Linked DNA regions of Drosophila melanogaster. The protein of the gene in region 3 interacts with the protein of the main gene of each other region in a pairwise test. Each region holds a gene or a part of one and is shown on either strand. Other genes may lie near its edges.

The links.
Region 1: the proteins of wdn (region 3) and Hmr interact in a two-hybrid assay, tested with the Drosophila melanogaster proteins (one large-scale study listed by BioGRID).
Region 2: the proteins of wdn (region 3) and 2mit interact in a two-hybrid assay, tested with the Drosophila melanogaster proteins (one large-scale study listed by BioGRID).
Region 4: the proteins of wdn (region 3) and CG14442 interact in a two-hybrid assay, tested with the Drosophila melanogaster proteins (one large-scale study listed by BioGRID).

The regions. Positions count from the first base shown.
Region 1 is NC_004354.4:10,590,396-10,597,695, forward strand, and holds Hmr (hybrid male rescue), read right to left. Parts: upstream 5,461-7,300; 5' UTR 5,198-5,460; coding exon 5,149-5,197; intron 5,083-5,148; coding exon 2,317-5,082; intron 2,259-2,316; coding exon 1,917-2,258; intron 1,858-1,916; coding exon 1,162-1,857; intron 1,105-1,161; coding exon 716-1,104; 3' UTR 525-715; downstream 1-524. Other genes in the region: CG2124 (uncharacterized protein), read left to right, coding at 5,855-7,300.
Region 2 is NT_033777.3:13,152,682-13,157,268, forward strand, and holds the start of 2mit (2mit), read right to left. Parts: upstream 3,007-4,587; 5' UTR 2,828-3,006; intron 2,069-2,827; 5' UTR 1,687-2,068; intron 1-1,686.
Region 3 is NT_033777.3:28,807,451-28,813,058, forward strand, and holds wdn (wings down), read right to left. Parts: upstream 3,888-5,608; 5' UTR 3,636-3,887; coding exon 2,620-3,635; intron 2,560-2,619; coding exon 1,355-2,559; intron 1,244-1,354; coding exon 855-1,243; 3' UTR 533-854; downstream 1-532. Other genes in the region: Prp39 (pre-mRNA processing factor 39), read left to right, coding at 4,665-4,704, 4,945-5,036, 5,255-5,608. UniProt on the Drosophila melanogaster protein: May belong to a complex set of multifingered proteins which play an important role in gene activation or regulation at early embryonic stages through a maximal accumulation of their transcripts (or protein product) in the mature oocyte.
Region 4 is NC_004354.4:6,688,988-6,696,648, reverse strand, and holds CG14442 (uncharacterized protein), read left to right. Parts: upstream 1-1,647; 5' UTR 1,648-2,692; coding exon 2,693-4,246; intron 4,247-4,535; coding exon of another isoform or gene 4,536-4,571; exon of another isoform or gene 4,572-4,576; intron 4,577-4,630; exon of another isoform or gene 4,631-4,967; intron 4,968-5,294; coding exon 5,295-6,845; 3' UTR 6,846-7,353; downstream 7,354-7,661.

The DNA.
Region 1 (7,300 bases), on a different chromosome or scaffold from region 3:
TTCGAAGAAATTGTGATTTTTTTTTAACAAAAAACTGCAAAAAGGAAAATCTGATATTTTCCTTATAACTTGGCGAAGAAGGTGGTAGAGCCAAAAAGTAACCGTTGTTTACTGTTCGTCATTTCGAAAGAAATGTGGGAGGATTACTAAAATCCTTTAAATAGTATATCGTCAAATAGTTTGGCCATTCCTTTGTCCTAGACAATCATCCCCTGTGTTTTACGTGCGCCTTATTATCTAGCCACTCCTCCAGGAACTTGGCAATCAAATCTTTTCCCAATTGCACGCCCAATTTATTCGGGCTTACTTTCATGTCCTCGGAGAGGCCATACAAGTGGGCGGGGCCGGCTGACCGACATATAATCATGGGGCCTTGCCCTCATCGCTATCATTCTGCGACTTTAAGCGTCTAACAACATTAGATACTGTTTATTATTGCGCAAGTTTCAGTTTGGTATTATACCTATGGTACTCAGGAACTCTTAAAATCTTAAATTTAACAGTCCCAGTGCAAAACATCATATGAAAGTTGACTGTGGCCATTTATTCAAGTTATTCTAGAGGGCTCTTAAAAAAAAAAAAAAAGTTATTGCAATTTCATGCACTTAATAATAAATAAGATGTATTCTGTGGCAATGAAGGGTGTCAATGGTACGGCGAAAGTTCTTACAGAGAATATGTATGACTAAACTACGTGTGCCAAAAGTTTCGAGAGCTAAGGCGGTGGCGGATTGACCTTGGCGTATTTAGAGAACAGCTGCGTCATCTTGCCGAGCAGTGTATCCTGACTGGCCGTGGACAAGTTACCGACGGCGTAGGCCCAATTCTTCACCACGAGATCCGGACTGCAAGTGGACAAATTGATCTCAGGCAGGAACTCCTGCGGGCTAACTTCCTGAGTGTTCTTCGCAAGCGATTCGTTTAACTGGTTGAGCTGCTGTGGCGTGCGGACTGTCAGCTGGGCGTTCGGCTTCACCTGCTTATAGATTTCCGACATGTGGTGCAAGTACTTGTGGCCCATTGTACATTGATTGCTTGGATCGGCGATCTTCAGATTGCGCATCTCGCGCAGAGCGTACTGCAGACCAAGGCGGCATTCGGTCACTGCAAAATATGTACTTTTAATCAAATGTCTAAATTGACATATTTGCAAATGATTACCTGTGGCATGCAACTCCTTTGATACGCGAACCCAGGCGGCTCGCTTGTCCAGAGTGCTCGCCCGCTCGAAGCTGTTTGGTTGGCTACGCAATTTCTTACACAACTCAAACGCCTCAATGGGGGATAGATTGTTACAGGTGACACTTCTCGCTGGGGTCGGCCGCTTTTGGGCGGTGGAGATATTCTTGTCTTTATGAGACTTGACGTTGGCGTTTGACGCTGGCTTGCTTTCGCTTGTCTTTTTGGACACGGAAACGCCATCAGGTACAGGAATAGGTTGGGCATCGGGTGCCAAAGCTAGAGCCGGAGCTGGAGCAATTTGAGTGAGAGTTTCAGTGCTTCTCACGCTATTCAACTTGCCGGTAAGCAAGCGCTTGGCCTCCTCCGTCTCCCATGGCTTGGGTTCTTTGGAAAAGCCCGTTAAAAGTTTGCTCGGTGTAAATTTGGTCTTATCGATATGATCGGAGGACGTTAGAGCCTCGTGCATTTTGCAGCGCTTCACCTCCTCTGACATCCTGTTGTGCACTATATAGTAGTAGGGCTCGAGCGGATGGTAGCGCACATTGACCAGAAACCTGAGTTGCTCCAGTGCCTGCCACCAATTCTGCGGCCAGGGATTATCGATGCCGCGCTCTAAATCATCCAGGTATGTGCGGAAGGCGAACTTAAACATTGACCAAATATCCCGATGATTGACTGCAAAAGAACAGAAAATTACTAATAAATGATTGGCTTATAACATTTATTAAACATACGATTTGGGAATTTAAGGCGGGCCTCCCGCCACACCTCCTGCTTCTCCTGATTCGTCAACTGGGGCGGAGCTTGAGCATCTTCGCCAGGTCGCGGCCTGCGTAAATCGCAGTAGAGGTACTCGTACTTCGCGAAGAAGCGTATTACTTCCGGCAACACGTTCTTGTGATTCAACCACTGGTATTTTAGCGCTATCTCGTCAAATTTGCCAAACAAGCGATTCGATTTTTCCCACACTTTTTCGCTGTACTTAAACGGACGCATCAGTTCCGACATCGGCGCAATTTTTGGAAACACACTCATGTTGGCCGCCAAGAATTTCCAGCATGCGCGCAAAGCTTCCTCTGCAGAACAAAAGAACGTATGAGCCAATGTTTCTAATATATATATAGTTACTCCTACCTGGCATGTGAAACTTCTTGGCGATAAAATGCCAGAACTCAACACACTTGGCCGCCAACTGTGGATCTTCCTTGTGCAGCTGCGGCACAGCCATCACCTCGCGGATCAACGTCGTCGTCCTAATCATATTGAGATTGAAGCGAGTACCCTGATTTCCGCACCAAACTTGCAGTTCATTCCCAGTGGTATCACTCTCGTGCAGACACACGGTTATGTTGCCAAGCGGCAAGTTCTCCGGCTGACTGCCTAGGGTTGCGGATGCGGCTGCAGTTGCTTTTATATCTGACTGCGATGCTGTTGTTGCCTTGGCTACTGTCGGCAATTTGGCTGGTCTGACCACTGGTGCTGATATTGCTGCTCCCACAGCTTTAGCCTGGCTTGCTAATGTGCCCTGTATTGTGGCATATGAGTCAGATGCAGCTTGTGTTGCAGATGTAGGAAATAATGGTGTTTTTCGTATGACTCGAGTTGTTTGTCCAGTGGCGATTGGTGGCGTAGTTACAGGCAGCTCAGTTGCTGGTTCTGTTGCAGGTTTGGCCATCCTGGTTGCTGCTGTAGGTAGTACTGCTACCGGTACGATTGGTTGATATTTTTTGGGGTTTACTAATGTTGTTGCTGGCAATTTGGGCTTTGGTGGTATTATTTTTGCTCTCGCTGGTTCCGCAGTTGCTACAATAGGAGCAGCTGCAGGCGAAGATGTGGTTAATAGTGATCTTATTGGCTTACTGAACGGAGCGCTATTGCTTTTGCCATCCCAAGCGCTTTTCAGTCCCGGCTGGTGTATTCGTACCATTGGAGCCGCAGTGGGTGTTGGCAGATTGCTTTTAGCTGTAATATTCGATGTTGTTATTGGTACAAAATTTGGCAGTGTTTGTTGCGGAGCTGGTGAACGTATTTGCGATGGATTTTGTGGCCTAAGCAGTTCACCCAGTGTCGACATTGGCCCTCCGGATACCCTGTCTTGAGTTTGAGCTGGATTGGTTGGATTCGTTGTTCGAATTACAGTGCGGGGGACTACAGGTGCCATTTGCGGTCTACTGGCCATTTGAGGCTTCGTATGGAGCTTAACCTGTAAGCCAGGACCCTGCGTTATCTGTGGACGCACTTCAGGCGGCTTTGCGTTTGGGCCCGCCATCTGATTGGTGGTGGCGATGGGGGACACGCCCGTTCCCATAGTCGCCGCCGGCTTGGGCAAAATTCGTACGTTGGGCACAAACTTTAGGGGTATCATATATCCCGAGCCCACACTGATGGCGGACGTGATTTTGGGAATCACAAACTTGGGAAGAGCTTGATCGGGCGATACACTCGAACTGACGCTGTTCGTTGCGGCGGCGGCGGTGGATGTGTTGTTAATGACTGGGCCAGAGGACCTCCTAACATTGGTGAAGGTGGGGCCAATGCTTGTGGCAGTGCTTGCACTGTTGGTCATGCTCGTGCTGCTGCCTTTTGAGGTGGACGGATAGACAATAGCCAATGGCATACGTACCGGCACCGGTGTTTTGGCCGGAGGCTCCCCCGCCACTGGTATGGCGCCGTTGGCTGTCCGCTTTAGTGCGGGACGGGCCGTGGAACGAGAGGTAACTGGCGTTAAGGCCAGACCCATGGAGCCCTCAAAGAACCACTTGTCCTGCAGCTGATAGCCGGATGAGCGCACGGCCTGCAATTCGTGGTAAAAGGCGCGCAGCACCAGCCAGGTGACCTCGCAGTGCTCGTGACTACACATCACTTCCATGCCGACCTTCTGCCAGAATTCGTCGTAGCGCGGCGGTTTCACCTTGTTGTGCAGGGAGTCCTCCGTCAGCTGAACTAGTTCTGGCATGTTGCGCATCGTGGTGATCAGCGCCATCACAGTGTGGAAATTCTCAATGGGCTCGTGCCAACCGTTTTGCAGGTACTTGGAAGACTTGCATACGGTGCCGCGCATGCGCTGTACGTGCGGTTCCATGAAGTCCATCAACCGACACAGCTCCGAAGTGCCGATATGACGTGGGCGATGGATTAACTCCCATTCGTAGCGAGTCTGCAGCTTTAGCCAGCACTTCATCAGCTTGGTGGCTTTGTCATGGACTTCGTTTGAAATGGCACTCCAGATTAGAAAGCGATGTCGTGTGTTCTGATAGCCCGTGCACGTGCTATCGTACAGAAGGGGATAGGCACTGACTGCCTCTATGAGGCGACGCTGTAACCTGTTGCAACGGTAGTTATAGGTGGGGTCCTCCTCGACATCCAAATCTATGATGTCCATTGGCGGATTCTCTATGACCTCCACATCGGGCCGGGTTTCGCTCTCATCCACATGCTCTTTTTCAAGAATCTCTGTCGGAATCTTGTCGACAATCAGTGGGAATCTGGCCACATGGGTATACATGAAGCGCATCTCTTCCTCGTATTCCATGCAAGGACGCCAACGCAGGGCCGCCCGATCTTTTTGGATGGCACTGCGATGAAAGTTTCTTAGACGACGAACATGGCGCTGATATTTATATCGCAGCGCCGACCAGGATCTCTTGCAGTTGGTCGCATTCGTTGCCAGGCGGCTGGCGATTTTTTTCCATTGTTTCTCCCTTTGAGCGACGTCGCGGAATTTCGGATGCCGGGCGTCATACAATAGCGGCTGGCGGCGTACCAAAGCGATGAGCAGCCTCTCTGCCCTATAGGTTTGCAGAATGCCGCCATCCCGAGATCCCGGATAAGTGCATCTGCTGAACGGATTTGGGGCCTTATCGTCATCCACGCCATTCGTCTTCTGACCAATTGTGTCAGCTTTGAGGAAAAAAAAAAACGGAAGTTAGTTGAACGGCTGACCAGGTGACCAACTGTCGGACTTACAAACAATTATCTGGCAATCATTTTCAATGGCAACAGGCTCCTCCTCCATGTCCTAGACACCTGATAGCTCCAATCTTGACCTACGCGCGCCTTTCCCCCACACAAGCCGTCGAGAATTCTCGGAACGGAGAAACCGGTGGGCAATCCGATGGAACCACTGCTTCACTCTTCACTCTTTTGTAGCATAAAATCACTCGGAAATAGTTTGGGAACAACTTGCAACTACAGGATTATTAAGTGCAAGCGTATCTACGTAAATATATCTACGTAAATAAGGTTTCTTGCGACGCCAGATAGTCGGCGGTTGCAAACGCAAAATGGTTAAAGAGCGTTATCGACCACGGATACCGTTATCGAAACATTCGATTAATATTTGAGTGTGAAATAGAATTGTATAGCTAAATATTTTTGTTTGTGTTAAGTTAAACAAAAATAAGTTGAAAAAACACGTTACAATTTGTAAAGCTACATTCTAGTAGCTACCCATTTGGATATCAGTGGAGTTATCGATAGCAGCCAAGCGCTGAGAGCAGAATATTTCGTTAAGTTCTCCCACTTGCGAGCACTCCAATTTCTTCGTTCTGGCAACGCTGCTTACCAGTCAGCTGTTTAGCCGGCAGGTTTTTCAACGAATGTTTTCATAACGCGTTTTCCATTCAAATTCAATTGAATTGAATTAATTTACAACCAAATATCGCTCTAAAACATGTGGGCAAGAACAAACTACCTCTGGCGAAGTGTGGGACGTCTGCGCCGCCAAGTATGCACGACGATCGTTTCACCAGCGCGAATATTTGCGGACCGAGAGAATCAGTTCGCCCATGGAATCCTGATGGATTCTCTCAAACCGTATGCAATACTGCGTCCTCGGGACTCCGCCTGGCAGGATTTGCCCGCATCTGAAGGCTTTATGCGGCCACAGCCAGATGCCAGTGCTGCCGATCTCTATGCGGACTTTTTAGGCCTGGTGAGGCACTGTAATCGCATGGAACTGAAGATCAGCGATAGCCGCTACGAAGCCTTTACCCGCTGCTTCTGTGAGCAGCTGCATCGCCTTACGGATGAACAACTTCTTGGATCGCTTAGTGCCTTGGCCGAGCTGCCCGTACCGGAATCGCCCAAAGCCAAGAACTACATGGAGATATGGAATACCCTGGACATCGAGTGCTGTCGCCGCATCGAGCGATGGTCCAGTGAACAATTGCTACTCGTGAGCGATGCCTGGTATCGTCTTGGTCTGGTCAGGATAGGCGAGTACGTGTGGCTGGCGCTGAAAAAGCTCGGCCGCAAGCTGCGAAAGCTGCCGCCAGAACAGCTCGTTCACTCCATGTTCCTGTGCAATCTACTGCGCCGACCCGTCTTCGAGATGTTCGATTTCGAGTTGAATCTGGCCCGCTGCGTGGATCAAATGACGCTGTCCGAATTGGGCGTAATGGCCATGGGCTTCTTTAAGACACAGACGCCTATCAGAAATCCGGAGCTGCTAACGCAACTCTATCAGCGATTAGGCAGCGAGCTGGACACCGTGGAAGACATTGTCCTGGTAGCGCTGCTCAAGGTGCTGCGGTACAGCAGCAAGCTGCCACAAGTGGAGCCGCTAAAGAAGATGTTAAGCGCTCTAGAGTCGCAAGTGGATCGCGTTTCCCTCCTCACGTGCCTGCACATGGCTCTTCTGGGCTGTGAACTGCAAACGTGCAATGATGCACTGGTGGAGCGCATACTGCTGAGATTCGAGCGTGAGTTAGAGACTGCCCGCCTCAAGGATATGGAGCGAATTTGTCTGGTAATGGCCCTTTTCAATATTACAACTAAGTCGGGAGTGGAACGCCGGTTGGCGGAGAGATTGCCCGATTTGCTGCGCCAGCGTATAGAGGAGATACTGCGCCATCCTCGTTGTTTCTCCAACTGCCTTCAGTTTCTCACAATGCGTGGTGTTTACGATCTTGAGCTTTTGGGCGTGGCACTGGAGCCGCGTTTCCTGAAGCATGCGTACCCAAGCGGATTGCCCGGGCGTGAGTACTTCCATTTGGATGGGTTCGCACGCCTCCTGGGGCCGGAATACCAGGGAGCACTGGTTACCGAGAAGCAACGACAGCAGATGGGCCGCAATTACACGCAGTACATCCCCGATCGGGACGGACGCTTCAAGCTG
Region 2 (4,587 bases), about 16 Mb from region 3:
TTAACCGCACAAGAGCCACTCGCGCCACACCCTGAGGCACTTAATTGCGGCGGCACCCCTCGCCCTTTTTGAACAGCATCCCCCATACGGAGTGCTACCTGTACTCAAGCCAACCCGAGTTTGGGGTGCGTGTGCTATCTGAGCTGAACTGGCGGCACTTTTGCTGCCATCTAATTAGACATTGTGGCTGCATTAATTGCCAGGAACTTGGACTTTATGGCTTTTCGGGGTAGAAGATTCTTTCGTGCGGATACCGAAAGTTTTTATTGCCGTGTCAGATAAAAGTCGAATTAGCGTTTGCCTAATTTGCGCTTGACAATTTGCCAGAGCATAAATATACTAAATATGTTGGCGATATATAGACTCATGGTATGCAGTGGTGTCTCTATACGTACATAATTTAACCGCCATTGTGTTCTATATTCTTGGCGAGCTTGTGCGCAATATACTCGTAAATAAATAAATTGCCCACAGGAATTTCACAATACTTTTGCGAGCAGCTTTGCATGCATAATTCACGAGTATGAATTTCATGTGCCAGAGCCCAAACAAGGCAAAAATCAATCAAATTAAATTGAAAATGAAAATCATAAAGCTCCCACGCGCCCCCAAAACTCAACTGAAATGATTTAAGAGGTAGGTAGATTGTGGCAGAAACTTGAGCATGATTTCTAGCCACATTTTCCATAGTTTCCATCCTCGATTCAGAGCTCACAATTTCACAATTTAATTATCGATGCTGAAACGGCAGAGTAGGTTGAGTATAAAGTTGTGAATGCCTGCCGGCAACTGGGAATTTCTGTTTTTGTTTCCATTGCCAGTCGCAAGTTTGTTCGGCATTGTCCTGGCCGAAACCCCTGACCTCTGTCCTCCCAGGAGCCTTGGACTTTTGCCCACAATTTGCATTCTCCTCCGTGAATTCAGGCCTCAATTTATCGAATTTTGCAATTGACTGGGCATACAGGCCACAATAATTCAACTGCTGGCTTTGCATTTAGTTCCGAGTAATATTTGATAGTGTTGTGGTTGCAAAATTGTTTTATTTACCAAATCCAAATGCGTAGTGCTTGACACAAGCAGTAACCATTTAACCATTAAATGTCAGCTGTTAAATAAATTATTGGACTCGTAATTAATTCCAATTGCATTAACAGCATTCGAAAAAGAGCAGAATTTGGCTAATTTTTTAATTTATATATTGGAATTGGTTGGCCATGAATCGGTTTTGCAAGTGATAATTCTATTTGCCGGCCAAAGCAATCAAAATTAACATTTTCATTTGTTGTTGATTAACATTTCTAATGTACTCCCCGTGTTGTCATTACATTTGCCCATAATAATTTCAATTTGTTCTTCAGTGAGGTATAGTTATCCTGAGAAACTTTTTCAATTTACGCCACTGCCTGTTAATTATGAGTTTTTAACTACAAATCAGTTGGGCGAACGAAAAAAATTGTCTTGCAATTAAGGCAGCGAATTAAAAACTGAGCAACGCTTGCCAGATGAGCAGCAGCAGCAGCAGCGTAATGTGAATGAATTAGCTCGATTTGCATGGAAATTTCATAAATATGTAAGCCGGACTTTGGGTGGTTGGGTGTCAAATTGAGGAGCGTGCTCAAAAAGCGGGAGAAAAGCAAACAAAATTGCACAACCCCCAAAGGTACGAGTAATCAAAGCAAAAATTACCTAATTAACATAATCCGCAGTGGCCAAATGAGGCGGCTTCTGCTCTTCTCCTCCCAGGCTTCTGGTGGTTTTTTTTTTCTCCTATTCGAGGGGGAGTTGTGGGCGTGGCCAGTCGGTAAGGATGTCGTCTGGTTTGGTCGTTGATTAGCGCTGCCTTTTGCTCTACACTCGCATTCGCGTCCTGCGTTTGTCTGTCTGCGTAAATCCTCTGTGATAAGTTGTCTAGGACGTGATCCTGTTCACGTTTCTCGTTCTGATTAATATGCACAGACGTTTAAATTTCGTTTTTTCCCTGCTTTCGGTTTATTTTCGGGGGTTTTGTTTATGGTTTATTCACTTCGCCTGCTGTTTGCTTTAAGTCTTTTTCCCGGGCACTGATGCACTGCAAATGGATATTTTACCGTGAGCTTTACGAGCTAGCTTTCACCTGCTTTTGCAGGCGAGCGGAAATGAGCAGATTCTTACACACACACACACACACACACGCATAGTGCACACTCAAAGACACGTACACACATACATGCAACTGGCGGAAATGAGTGGAACACGCGAAATTCTTTATCCGGTATGCTGGCAAAGTTCTTAAAAGTTTTTATATTCAAACAACACACTCTATCCCAGAACCATGCTTTACAATGTTTACTCTGTTTTAACTGGACACAAAATAAACCTCTTTCTGAATTCATTCATTCCACAGCTTTAGTGCTAGAAGTATATTCATATAAAATATTCTATTCTATGCATTAAGACATAATTCTGCTCATCAGCTGTTTTACGAACGCTAAATTTTCATCTCAAAAATTTATTATGTTCGCATTCATACGAATTTTATTCCTTAAAGCATGGATATATGAATATATCTGATATTAAAAAATAAAGGCATACAAATATATATTCTCAAAATAACAACCTCCCACTGAATACAGTCAGTATCATAAATAATGTGTTAGCTATGAGGATGTTCCAATCCCAATTCCCATTTCGACGCCTTGCTGTCTGCTAGCTAGAAAATACAAAAAATATGTTGACATTTCGCCTTTTTCTACCGGAAGTTGGCTAACATCACAAATACCAACGCAACACGCACAATACAAAAACACACGCCAACCACACAGTTCAAAACAAGCTCGATCTGCTCTACCTGGTAACTTTTTTATATTTATTTTTGGCTTTGGTTAGAATCGCACAGTTTCTGGAGGCAGTTAGTTAGTTAGTTGTTTGTGGCCTCTTCACACGGCACTTGGCACTTGGTTTTTGTTTGATTGAATCGACGCTTTCTCGGGTCGCGTGTCCTGGCCTCGATGTATTTAGCACTAGACTGAGCTGCTCACTCGGCAAGGACATGCTTTTAAGCCATCCTCCGGAGTTCGAAATTCGAAATAGTCGCTGGGCGCCTGCGCGGTTTCTCTTTTCTATTCGGTGAGCAGCTGGCTGATTTGCTCTTCAAGCTGCTGACTGCGTTTTGTTATTATTTTGTTTATGTCCCTGTCAGCAGAGATGTGTGTGTGTGTGTGTTTGTCATCACCTGTTAGCATTTGCGAGTCCTTGAAATTCGGCTCAGTTTCTTGCACAACCTGAGCGACCAAAATCCACCCACTCGGTTGGCAGATGCTGCCTGTGACATTGTCTTTGCCATTATGTAATAATTACAAAGACATACGCACACGTGTTAAACTTCAAATTAATTGCTACCCAAAAGTCTAGGGATATTTGGGCATGGACATGGGCATGAATATGAGTACACAGGGTCCTTGGATGGACATGGCAGGACATTTTCTACTGCTGACCACAGCCCAAACACCAGGCACGTTCCCGTTTTGTATGCTGCTACCAGGATGTGCGGAATATCCAGCACTGAAGGTCATGTAATGATAAGGGGGAGTGGTTGGTCCAAACAGGGGTCGTGGCGAATATGCGTTCAGGTGTTGTCCAGGTGCAAGCGACGCGCAAAAGTCATTAAGTGTGGCCTGCAAAGTGTGATGCACCCCGACAACTGAACAAACATTAGGCTTAATTAACTAGACTGGTGTGTTACTCTTTATTAAACTAGGATATTTTAAAATAACAGAATGTGCACCTTAGGTCACAAGTAAAATATAAAACTGTTTCAGTAATCTAAATGATAAATAGCCAAGTTTATATAAACTTACGATGCTTTTGGGAAAATAGACATTCATAAATAGCTGTTTAAACCACAATATTACCTTCTAAACGCATTTAAATATCCTATTGAATTGAAATATTTAATATGTCTCTTTTTATTAAAGTATGTCTTGTTTAGTGTCTGGTAATTCCGTGTAAGCCAAGCAACTTGGACTTCGTGAGTTTCAAAGTGCCATCATGACTTCCAGACTTCGAGCCATGAAGTTTGGGCCATAGCCTGACTACCCTGAAGTTACCGCTTATAACAAGAACATCAACAACGCCGTAACGAGGTTCATGTTTAATGGCCGTGCAGTCGCAGTCCTTCGGATGGAGTAAGGTGTTGTTGTGCCGGAGAGTGGGATGGCTATAGGGCCGTATGACTATATCCACAATCCTGTCGGGTGTCGGGCCAACAAATGCAGCTACAAAGGCAGCCCAAAAGACATGCACTAATATCGTGTGCTGTCCGTGTTGCATTTCTCCCCGACCACGCACCTTGCCCCTTCGTGTGCCATGTTTTTGGGCTTACAGCTTGAACCTGACACAGAAAATTGTATTTTAATGACGGAGCATAGCGTCACTGCCAACGACAGGGGACAGGGCACACGGTACAGGAGCAGCAGCAGGAGCAGAAACAGGGACACGGACTGAAATGCCAGTGGAGACCCCATTCAAGACGTTAATAAAGCGACGCACACGCAGCACATTCCATGGGTGTAAGGTGCTAAAGGTGCGAGGGGGATGTCCTGGACCTGC
Region 3 (5,608 bases):
CATACACATTTCAACAACTGATGGAAGTAACGTTAATAAATTAAATAAAACAACGTACAACAAGGTGGCTTCAAGTATTAAAGCTTTTGGGGTTGCCCTGATAGGATTCATTTAGATTAGAACTACGATCAGATTGAGTACGTATATATATTAGAAACGTGGAGGTTAATTACTACAATCAAAACATACAGTGCTCGGTACGGGGAGTTCATATTCGTTTTAACAATACTTACAATCCAGGCTTTGCTCACCATTTTGAGCCACCCAAACCAATTCGTGATTGCGATTGAGTAGGTATTCAGCCCTTGTGAGTATCTCTTCGGAACAGATAACTTAAGTCTTTTATACCTGGCTTATCCCACATCTTCTCCAGCTACTTTTAAAACTCTTCTACTTGGACAGTGAATGATCTTCTTAGATAGATGGTAAACCTAAGCCCATTTGCATCGAATTACAGCGCGACCTATTTAAATTACGCCCTTTGCAAAGAAGGGAACGGTTCCAATTTGCAAGAAATGATGGGATGTTTACTAAAATATGTACGAAATTTATTATTGGTGTGAAGCGTACAAATTAAAGATCTATCATTATGTATCTATATATAATCGTTTATATGTACACTCAATTACACTTACGGGCTATGCAGAAATCAGCTTACGTCAATTACTTAAACAAATGTAGCGTCATACTCTTAATTACCTACGGGAAACAATTCCGTATTCTTTTAATCGATTGCCATCGGTCCGCGACCGCCCAATTGCGCTGGTGCAACATGGTCGACACTGCTAACTTAACTAAGACACAGGAGATCGTTGAGGCGTTGATGTTGGCAGGCAGCAGATTCCGCCGCCCGATCATGTCAGATGCGGCGTGGCCGCAGTCGCCGATTTCCCCGCAAAGAATCGACTTCCGCCTGTCTGGTTGGTGAAGAGTAGCGTGTCAACTGAGGGCAGCATCTGATTGGATCTCACCAGAAGAGGCACATTCACCATGGACACAGAGGGTGTCTGGGCCAAGCTCGTGGTCACAGACTGAACACCATTGCCCGTACTACTAAGCTTTCCGTGTGCATTCAGCGTAAAGGCGGGTAGATAGTAGTTCCCAGATCGCACTGGTAGAGCATTCGTCGATATGGCGACACTGGAGGCGCATGAGACAGCGGTCAGCTCCATGGAGGCGGGTGACGAAAACGGCGAGGACTCCAGTGAGGGGCAAGGTAGTCGGTCGCTGGGCTTACAAGGCACTACAAATATAAAATTTTAAATTAATATAAAGTTTTTAAAAGGAATACTATTTTATACGAATAACTAGGTAAATCAATTCATAAAACAGGACATTTTCATTAGAAACTTACAGAAGTCATCGTCTGGCAACAGCTCGTCCGGTAATTCATTCTTTATCTGGAAGTGCAGGGCAGCGGCCGAATCGGAAATGGCGTTGTCCGACGTCCCCATTTCAGTGTTTGCATTAGGAGCATCGTACAGACCGCACTCCTCCATCTCCAGGGCCTGCTCCATGATCAGCTCTTCGGCTGAAGTCAGACTAAGACCGTGTAAGTCAAGGAACGGACCCTGAGTCTGCACTGGCTCCTTCTTGATTTGCGGCACAGCAGGAATGGGCTCTAAGCTGGACTGCTGGGGTTGGCCCTGTTGCAGCAGCTGCGGTTTTTGCTGCAGTTGCTTCGGTGCTAGCTGCTTTCGTTCTCGCTTGGCTTTGGTCTGCTTAGGAGCCGGCGGGGCCAGCGGCACCAGCACAGTGGTAAGTTCCTGCTGATGCTGTTGCGCCAGCGGCACAGGATGCACTTGCTGCAGAGCAGTACCGGCAGGTAGAGTTATTCCCAATGCAGCAAGAGTGGCCTGCTGCGGCTGCTTCTTTTTCCGCGCTTGTTTTGCAGGAGCCGGTGCAGCAGTAGACGTAAGATTAGCCTTGGCTTTAAGTTCACTAGAAGCGGAGAGTTCGTTGGGATTCACAGCTGAAGATGCTGCCGCCGCTGCTGCTGCTGCCGCGGCTGCCTTTTGGGCCTTGTTTGTAGTGGACTTTTTAGAGCAGTAGGAGGGAATGTTCTCGAGGTGTTCGCCCGTTTTGTGGTCCACCTTGTGTCGGCGTCTCGTGTGCTTCAACCAATTGGGGAAGTTGGTGAAGTCTCGCGGACAATAATTGCATTTGAACGGGCGCATTCCTGTGTGTATGTTGGAGTGCTGCTTAAGCTTCGAATTGCTGATGAAGCTCTTGTCGCACACTGTGCACGCGAATGGTCGCTGCTCAAGATGCACCAAGTTGTGGACCTTGAGACAGCGCTCCGTTTTGTACATCTTGCCGCACTTTTCGCAACGATAGGAACGCGTTTGCGCATGGTACTTCTGGTGGCGCTGCAGATGTGAGCGCTCCTGGAATCGCTTCTGACACTCGGGACACTCGTACGGCTTCTCCGATGAGTGAATCCGTGCGTGGTGCGTGAGGTTTATTTTTTGCACAAACTTTTGGCCGCAGATGTCGCACTGGTACTTCTTGTTATCGCTGTGAATCTTCCGATGCATCCACATGCTTCCCAATTTGAGGCTAAAGTTAGAGTAAAATGGTCAATAGGAATAACTATTTTTAGTTTGCAGTAACACTTACCACTTGCCGCAGTCAGGACACTTCTTCCAGGTGTCCTTGCGGCCCTCGGTGCGGTGCGTCTTTAGGTGCTTCTTCAAACCAGCCAACAACTCGAATTCCCGCTGGCACTCGCTGCAACGATAGGTGAGCCTCAGCCTGTGAGCGGCCGCCTCATGCTTGGCCACCTCATCGGGCGTCTCCAGCAGCAGTCCGTTGCAGTCGAGACACTTGTGTAGAGGTGCCGGGTCCACCTCCAACGGCTTCGTTTCCGAAGCAGCCGGAGGCGGCATGCTAGCCGCATCCGCCACCGATTCAGCCGATTTGGCCTGCTGGAATATGGTAAACGATGGCGGCAGCAGCTCAGACTCGCACACCTCTACCTTGGTGACCACTTGCTCCGGCGGATGCTTCTCCTCGGGCGGCTCCTCCTTAAAGACCTTCAGACGCACCGCCGTCGCCGCCGGCAGCTTTGGCTTGCGTTGCAGCAGCTGAGACTGGGGCATTTGGAGCTGATGCTGCTGGTGGAGCTGCTCGGGCGATAGCTTTACGGGTGTGGAGGTGCCGCTGGACGAAGTCTTCTTAAACGGGGAATTAGTGAAAGCATTCGGGGGCTCGGGCCGCAGGAAAGTCACACTAAACTCCGAGCTGGAGTGGTTATCACTGGTCAGAGTGCTGGGCACGGTTGACGAGCTGGTGGCAGCCAAGTCATCGCGGCAGACGTCCGAGGATAGATTCAGCTCGGTGTTGTTCTGGGCACTCTCGTCCAAAACGCGCCAAAAGTCGGTGGAGGAGAGACTGTTACCATTGACCAGGCTGGCGGAGCTGATGGTCACGCACGCCGACAGATCGATGTCCAGCGACTCGTCCTTGATGCTCGATATCGAGTCGAAGTTGTTGATCCGCAGCAGAGAGCTGAGTATCTCGTCGTGGGCCGCCTTCGTGGGGGTGCCCGCATCGCCGCCGTAGATTTTAGGCGGCAACTTCTTGCTTGGCGCCTCCTCTTTCATTCTCTTGCCCTCGCCCTTGCCGCCTTCCATTCGCCTTGCCTTGCTTACACGTACAGGTTATGCGGTCGGCGTTTTCGCTCGCCGTATTTTGTCTTTGTTCGCCGCGCCGCTGACGCTTTGCGTTCACTGGTCGCCGTTGCCCGGTCACTGGGTCCCCAATTCACTCATCGCGATCGCTTTCGTTGTATTAAACGCGCCGCAATTGATCGAAAAACATTTAATTATTGTGAAATGCGCCTTGGCTTTGTTGTTTTTGTCACGCTTACAATTCTCGAGTCGCCATTTTGAGAACAGTGTTAGAAGACGCGCACGAGTGGCAGTCCCGCTAAGAGTGATGCTCGCCAGGCGGGTTATTAGCTATATTTAATTCACGACTGGATTCACCATTCTAAATAACATTTAAAGAGATTTCTTGACTCAAAAAGAAATCTTGTCCGACAAGGAAACATTTTACTTACCAATTCCATTTACATGTTTGTATTTACTTGATATAATTCACGATTATGTTGTATAGAAACTATAACAATTTTTTGGGCTTTTAAAATCCTATGCATTGAACATTCAAACCCTAAATATTAAAGGAAGTAGGCCCAATGATTGTGTTATTTGTTTATGTTTTTTATGTTAACTTAATAACCCACTAATTTATAATATGTGTAACATTAAACAAATTTTATCTTCTTTCATTAAGAATTATTTATGGTGATATTTAAAGTCCTCTTACCATAAAATATTTAAATTATATTTCTAGCTGGAACATGTAATTTCTGCTAGAATTTGTATGTTGAGATAGGTTCTGCATGCGCACGCCAAAAAATGAACTAGTTCGCCGAACTGGAAAAACACTGAGCACTTAGGCTATTTTCGTTATTAAATTATATTTTTTGATAGATTGTATATAATTCATTCATCAATGCTAAAAAATGATAAATATCGAAATTCGAAAAACCTCTGAAAAATATTCAAAATATAGCTATGAGTCAGTCGTCAGTCTTGACCAAACAAAGAGATATCGATATTGGCGGGACATGTATATCGATACCACGTTGCAATGTTAATATGGCGTCAGAGGGCGAAAACGTTGTTATGGAAAGTCCAGGTAAATTGATGAAAAATTACAAATACGTGCATTCCTTCGACCGGACCTAGTGACCGTTGATTAAAAATTCAGTCCTTACTAGCCCATTTCGGTAGCTGACACTGACAGTTAGCTGGAGCAGCCCATTAAAGCATTTGGAAAAAAGTGAACATCACGAGGCAGCGAACAACCCACAACACCGCGCGTACAGTTTATGTAAACCGCATGGATTAACCAAGAAAGTTAATTGACGTTTTCCAGGTCGCCGCACACGTTCTGGTCGGAAGGCCGCATCCCCGGCTGCATCGCTGCCAACCAGAAGCACCCGGCGCACATCCAAGCGGAACGTACAGGTCAGTTCATCCCACGTAGTTACCGCCTCTTCCAGATCATCAGCCAATGATGTAAACGATTGCAATTTCCAGTGTGGGTGTGGCGTTGTTCCATCCGCACATGATTCTTCTCCCTGGAGGAGCGAGTGATTACCTGCAAGGGCCAACTGAAGGCACAGCATCCACAAATGCTCTGAGAAATGCCGGGAACCTTCATTAACGACTTTTAATCCTTTCAGCTAAGTGACCACGAAGAGGAGGCCGAAGAGCAAGTGGTCATGGTTCAGGAAGAGGAGGAGCCCTTTAGAGGGACAAACACTGCGGAGGCACCTGCTTTGGAGCCCCAATTCGAGGAGACTCAGCACCAGATAGAGGATGACGTGGAAATGCTGCCAGCCGAAGCTGCTGGGGTTGATGAAAAGAGCTCTTCCTTCCCGTTTGGCACGGTGGCGGAGCTGCATTCAGAGACTAGTGATGATATTAAAGAGACACGCGGTCAGGCTGGCGTGGACACCCTACTGGCTTCTTTAGCCGGCGATAATGCCAACAGCCTGCCCTCCGTGGGTGGAAATGACGAGAGTGACAATGTCAAG
Region 4 (7,661 bases), on a different chromosome or scaffold from region 3:
ACGAGGCAACAAGTGCCTTTCGAGGAAATCCTCGGGCGAAACTTGCTATAACATTCAAAAATCGTATTTTTCCACAACAACTGAGGCACCCTAGTGACGAACAACCCCCATATGTGTGTGTAAGTTGGTAAAGGCATGTAACCCAAAACGGACAGCGCCACTCACATAAGGATAATATACACACACTCGGCAGCTCCCACATAAATATATGTATATATACAAATTTATATATATATATATATATATATACATATATAGTTGGAGCATACACACATGATCCGTAGCCAGGCACATAACGCAATATTTGTTAAAGCACGCAATCCTTCCTCCCTTCCCCAGCCAACATCCAACCGCCCACTTTTCCTAGACCTTATCCTTATCCATATCCTCAGCCTCTTCCCACGCCCATGTCCTTCCGCGCGGGCCCACATGATATATACATGATATATATTTATATATACATATATATACATATGTATATATATATATTATGCTAATTATTATTAATAAAGTGTAACCATTAAGTTCTAGTCGAAATTTCAAATTGTTTTTCTCCTGTCTAAATACGTTTATCAATTGTTTTTTGCCTTAAGACATAAGATTGAGATACATTTTTGTGTATTGTAATATTCGTGTACACTAACAATGACAACACACAACAAGAAAAATCAACAAACAAAACACAACACCAAGAAAGTGAAAACAGAAACAGAAAAATATAAGCGAAAAAAAACGAGAATAACAAAATGAATATACTTGAATAAAGTTGCATTCACAATTTTTAAATGCTGCGTTCTGAGCTTTGGTGGGAATTTAATAGGGAATAGTGATAATCTAAAAAAAAGTAAAAGCGTTATCAACCGGAAATGATCAGGAATGGTTGATAATAACACTACAATTTTGAAAATTTCCTTCAAATCTGACAGAATGTCCTCGATGAACCTGAAGGGTGGGTCCCATTCTCAGGATCGCCATCCGTATGCTTGTTGTACATTTAAGTATCACAGCAATTAAACAAATTAAAAACTCCCATCTAAAATACATTTAAATATAAAATATAAATAATTTACAAACTCCATTCAGCACATGCTACTGAACTAATCCTATTATATATACGATTATCTACGATTATCAACGAAATGCTCTTATTGGAAATAATATAGTTTCTAATTTTATATAAATAGTTTAATTCACTTTTATAAATCGCATTTATTCATTTCAAAAAGATTTGAAAGCTTTGGAATGTTAATGCCCTGTTAACATAACATAACATAGTTGATTGTTATGTAAAGTAAGCTTTAAAACAGTGTGGCCAAGAGGCGAAAATTTGTTACAATTGAAATAGAATTATCCATGTCTTGACGTTACGCTTGATTTTTAAAAAATCGATTTCAAACATCAAGCTATCGACAAGCTGATCTAACTATAACATTAAGTATGGAAAAATAGTACATATATTCTGTAATATGGTACTGCAAAACTGCAGCCAAATAATAATATAAATATTATCTGCCTGCAAGACTAATTTCCAAATTGTAAAATAAACCCGGGCGATATTTCAAGCGGAACATCGGTTAATCAGTTGCATTTTCCAATGAATCGACAGCCTGCTCAACTATCGATGTATCGATACTTTTTACCATCCCTACTGTGAACAGAACGATTGTTGAAATGAAAACAACTGAAATAAGATGAATTAAATTAAATTAAAGATACAGTACCACGGATTGCGAACAAGTACGCATACTTCAAGTTAATGACATTACGGTGCGATCGGAAGTGGCAGATATACGCTGGTCCCAGCTATGTGGAAAATTCCCGGTAGTTAAGTTAACGCTGCGCCGCCACAGAACATCCTTTTAACCCACCAAGAGAAAAGGCGCCTGGATGCACCGCAGCACGGCGAATAAATGGAATTACAAATCAAAGGGTTAAGGTTTGTGCAAAAAGCAAAATAAGGAGCGGAAAAAAACTCGCACACACGTACGTTGCGTATTGCTTCGTTGCGCGTGTGTGTGTGTGTGTTTAGCAGTGCGTGCTTGTGTGTGCGGACGGCGGCTGCATGGGTGTGTGTGTATAATCATGTGAAAAATCGATTGGCAGCGCAGAAGCAGCGCGGCGGCGGCGCCAATTGTCACTGACTCGCAAGAAGAAGCACGCTTTTATGAAAACGCACGAAAAATTGTAATGGCCAAATACGAACGGTAATAAAGTGCATAATGCTAAAAATGGAGAAGAAGAATACCGCTCATAGCCAAAAAGGGAACGAAAGAAATGCCCGAGGACCACAATAACAATAGCGGAGTGATCGCCGCAAAAATAGAGTGCGAGAGAGAAACGGCGCCAGCACACACATATTCTTTATATAACTACTAGTAAGCAAAAAGCGAAACAAAACAAACACAAAGAGGAAACGCCAAGGAGCAGCGGACGAAAAAAAGAGCGGGAGACGGCCCAGAGCGTGCGAAAGAGAGGGGGCGAGCAAGAGCGCGGCCCCTAGATGTTATCGAAACAATCGGAAGGACTGCGCTCATCCTTTCGATAACCAAATACCCATCGTCTATATACACATATATAGATATATATCTATAAATATATATATAAATATATATATATACATAACAAACAGTACACTTTTGGAGCCCCGATAGACGACAATTTCGATTGTTGTTGCCCCGGCTTTTGACCAAGAATGGAACCAGATCCCAATGGGATAAAAATAGAGCCCTCACTTGATCAGCAGCAGTACGCCACCCATGTGCTGGCCATCAATGGCTCCAATGCCCGCCTGCTCATCGAGCATCCCTCAGCTTTGTTGGTACCACTCTCCTCGCATCACCAGCTGCAATTGCAACAGCAGCAACAACAGCAGCAGCACGTACAGCAGCAACATCAACAACAGCAGCAGCAGCATCAGCAACAACAGCAACAGTTCCAGCAGCAACATCTTCACCAGCAGCAACAGGATCAACTGCAGTTCCAGCAACAGCATCTCCAGCTTTATGCACCACTGAAGCAACAGCAATTGCAGCAGCAGCAATCGCAGCAGCCACCCACTCCATTGGGACCCACCAGCAGTGCCAGTTCCGCATCCATAACAGGTGCCTCCACCACTGGCCACCAGCAGAGGTGGAACGAGAGCCCCGAGGCACGCCAGCGCCGTCTGGCCAGAAATGCTGAAAGGATGCGGGAACGCCGGCAGCGCGAGAGCGAGGAGGAGTATCGCAAGCGACTACTCCGGAATGCAGAAGCCAATCGCCAGAGACGCCAGAATGAATCCGACATAGAGCGGGCCATGCGGCTAGTGAGGAATGCGGCCAGGCAACGGCTACGCCGGGCCATGGAGTCGCCGGACCAGAGGGCCAAACGGCTGGCCAAATTGGCCGAAAGGATGCGCATGTATCGCGCCAGCGAGACGAACGATCAGCGAAAGCTCCGGCTGGCAGAAATGGCGGCAAGGGCGCGCCAAAGGATCGCCAATGAGTCACCGGAGGAGCGGAAGGAAAGACTGAGAAAGCTGAACGATTATGCCAAAAAGGTCAGAGAAAAGAAGAAGGTACTGAAGCATGTTGTGGTGCACGGTGGTTCGTCGTCGGTGGTCGTCTCAACGCCGACATCCTCCTCGTCGTCAACGGACCAGCAGCACCACCACCAGCAGCAGCAGCAGCAACAGCAGCAACAACAGCAGCAGCAACAACAGCAGCAGGTGCTGGCTGTTGCAGCAGCAGCCGCAGCAGCGGCGGCAGCCAATTGTACTAACGAACACACTATCAATCTAAACCAGGCGACCACCACAGCGACGACGACGACAACGGACGAGGCAGGCACCCCGCAGCCCGCGGAGGATCAGCAGCATCTGGTGACAGCAGCCGCCTATCAGCAACACCAGGCCCTGGCCGGAGTGGAGTATATGGGACAGGGCATGTTTCTGGCGCCCGGCTCCCTACGTCCACCCATGCAACTGAAGCAGGAGCCACAGACGCCGCAGCAGCAGCAGATTACACAGCAGCAGCTGCAGCAGCAGCATCAGCGATACACCATCACCGGACAGCAGCAGCAACAGGTTACGGCTGCTCTGCTCGAGGGCACCGAGCCGGGCAGCATCTTTGTGCAGCAGATCTATGGCGATGAGGGTGGCAAGGGCACCGCAAAGCTGCTCCAGGCCCATGTGCCGCACTTCAGCATCGCCGGTGGCCAGCTGGAACTCTACCCGCACAAATATGCTGCCAAGAAGCAGGAACTTCAGGTGCGTATGCAGTAGGCGTAGTAGATAGCAAGAATGATCGGCGATAGCAACTAAATCACGCACACACACACAAAGTAACGCAGCAAAACTAAAGTTTGGCATCCTCCAGGAACCTCATCTTGCCCATGAATCCATCAATGTAATTTGTTATCTAGAAACACTATTTATTTGAAATCTAATCGGTATTAGAAAAAAAGGGCACTATCTACTTCCAGTAAACGTAAAATCAAAACATGATTAGCCTAATTTAGCTTGATTCCTGAATAATAACAATAAATGATTTTTACAGTTGCAGAGGAATTTGGAATCGAATACAAATTCGTAGCGCTGGTAAAATATCAAACAATTGCCAATACTCGTAAATTTCAAATATTTTCCTTGCAGTTGGCGAAATCAACTGCCTCAAAGGAAAATGCTTGAAACCGGAAAGTAGGAATTTTGAAAATATATAGAATTCAATGGAAATTGGCAGAAGAAGCGGCCAATGGACCTCTCTTTTTTTTTGCGCGTTGCCTTACCCGCATTTTAACTCCTCTTTTGATCAAAAGCGAAAATCGTATAAGTTTATTTCAGTTAACATTATTGTTCGTTGTTCATATTACTTGTGTTAGTTCTTTTTTTTGGTCAGAAGCAAATGAATTAATCAATCGTATAGAGTGTAGATATATGTAGCAATGTAAATCTTGAACCTAAGAACAAAATACTTTTACCAACCAGAAACAAACAAAAAGTGGTTTTAATTCCCTTGTACAGGTGTGCGTTCGTGTGTGTGTGTGTGTGTGTCCTCCATCTATCCCTTTCGCTCTATCACTCGCACTCGGTTCTTTTCGAAAACCAATCTATAAGACCACCTTCAATCACATCAATCAATCTTATCACTCAAATTACGAAATTAGGTTGCAATGATTTGTAAAATTCAATTACCGAAGATTGCTGTGATTGCGAAGATTAAGATTTATACCAGAATTCCAAACCGATAGTCCCATAACCCGCAGAATCAAACCGACTCACCCGTTGGCTTGCCAATCCCTTCTATCCCTTCTTGCAGTCGGACAACGATGCTACGGTATCAGCGGGCGGCAATGATAACAGCGGGTCTGTTAGCCTCGGCCACAACGAGACCAAGGTGATCGTGACGACGGCCAGCGGGGAACAGAAGCTGCTTAAGGCGACGCCCGGCCAGGCGCAGCAGCTGTATAATCAATTCCCCTACCTGGCCACCTTCCCTAACACCACCAGCAGCGGCAACAGCACCACCAGTACCACCAATGTCGGACACGTGGGCGTGGTAACGGCGGGTACAACAACGGGCGCCGGCGGTACAACCACCACCGCCTACTATCCAATGTACCACAATGGCTTCCAGATTGGCATCGGGCCGAATGCAGTGCCGCCGCCGTTTACGCCCGTCAACTTTGCCAACGCCAGTGGTGGCAATAGTCCCGGACAGTATAACATACTGGCGGCGAATCCAACGCTAACGGTCACTGGATTGGGACAGCAGGAGCAACAACAGACAGGCGCGTCGTCGGCGGCGGCGCCACAAATTGTGACCACACCTGTTGGCAGGGGCAGGCCGCGAAAGAATCCGTTGCCCAGCGAGGAGCAGCTAAAGGTGAACAGTCTGCTGGAGCAGGAGCTCAATCAGATGCTGTCCGCACCGCAGCTGGCCACCAGTACGCCGCGTCGCGGCAGGCCACTGTCGCAGGCATCGCAGCAACATCATCAGGAGCTCAGCCAGATTCATGTACATTCCACGGCCGATGGCGACAGTCGAACGCCAGTGTTGACGCCGCGACGCAGCGGTGCTAACAAATACGAGACGGAGGAGGAGAAGCGAATACGTTTGGACAAGATGGCCGCACACCAGCGAGCGGTGCGTGCCAATGAGACGCCCGAGCAGCGGGCCACGCGTCTACAGAAGCTGAGCGAACGGGCACGACTGAAGCGGGCCCAGATCCGAGCCACCGAGAATACGGACGAGCGCAAGGAGCGACTGTCCAAGCAGGCGGAATATGCGCGAATGCGACGCATGCGCAGCCACACGCCGCGCAGCAGCAGCGCCACCAGCACCGAGTTCCGTGCCAAAACCGAGGAAGAAGATGAGTGCCAGGACGATGACACCAGTGCCGAGCATCATATGTACGAAAGTGAAGCCGTTTCGGTCACTGGCACGGGCAGTGATGGTGGCTTCGTTTCGGTGGTGAAGGCCGACAACGACGATTCACCATTGGGCGGTGGCGATGGCTCCAACGATCACGAACAGTTGCCGGCGCTGCAATTGCAGCAGCATGAGCTGCAGCAGATTGCCGGCAGCCTTCAGCAGCAACATTTGGTGCCGCATCCGCATCACGAGGCGATTGTGTTGAACCAGCAGCACCGCCTGGTGACCATCAGTCAGCACCAGCAGCAGCAGCTCCATCAGCAGCAGCATCCTGGCTTCAGTAAACTGCAGACGGTCAAGGATTATGCAAATGCAGCCGGCGGTGGAGGCGGAGGAGGAGCTGCTGGTTCTGGCGGCGGCAGTGGAACGGGAGCACCCGAAAACAATGACATGCTAAAGATACTCGAGCCAATCATTGTGATGAAGACCAAATGAGGTTCGCGGAGGCGTCACAGTCGCAGCACCAATCGCTAGAAGGGATATGTGTGGATGACGTGCTAGCCAGGCCTCCATTTCCGCCGGAATATCAGGCGTTGGACGCACAAACGATGGAGATATCTGCGAACAGTAGGGATTGTCTATAGTTATCAATAAGCGTATATTTTTTTTTAATCTGTTTTTTAAAGTGTTAATGTACTTCAATGGTAGATTTTGTAAAAAGTCAGAGTAAGCGGAGATCAAGGATCAAGTGCAATACGGATGCCTGGCAGGCACAAAAGTCCACCGGAAACCCAGAAAGCTAAATGAAATGAAACACTGTGACGCCCCGAAAGCCACTGAAAATCGAAGAAATGCAGCTAAAATAAAAAGATAACTACGATCGATGGTGGAGATCCAACTAAACCTAATCCAGAATATGTAGCGCGTAAACAGAGCACTAAGTAGTTGTATGTATTAACTATTAATTTTTTAAATTAGCAAAAAAAAAGCAAAAAAAAAACCCAAAATAACAAATAAATCTAATAAGATCGAAACAAAACGGTCAATGGCAGCGGTGTATGGGATGTATGTGTGGTCAGCCAGTGGCTATCGGTTATCGATAGCAAATGCAGAGGCGAACGTGTTTTTGCATGTTGCACGTCTGGCGCGCACATGACGCGCATGACGCGCACCACATCCGCTGGAAATTTTTTCCAAAGGCAGCCTTTCTTTCTTTCTATTCCTACTCATTACGGTAGTGGTTGTCAGCGTGCAGGTGATGGAAAAGCTCTGGAGGATCTGTATAAAAATCATAATTAACTTTTTAAAAAT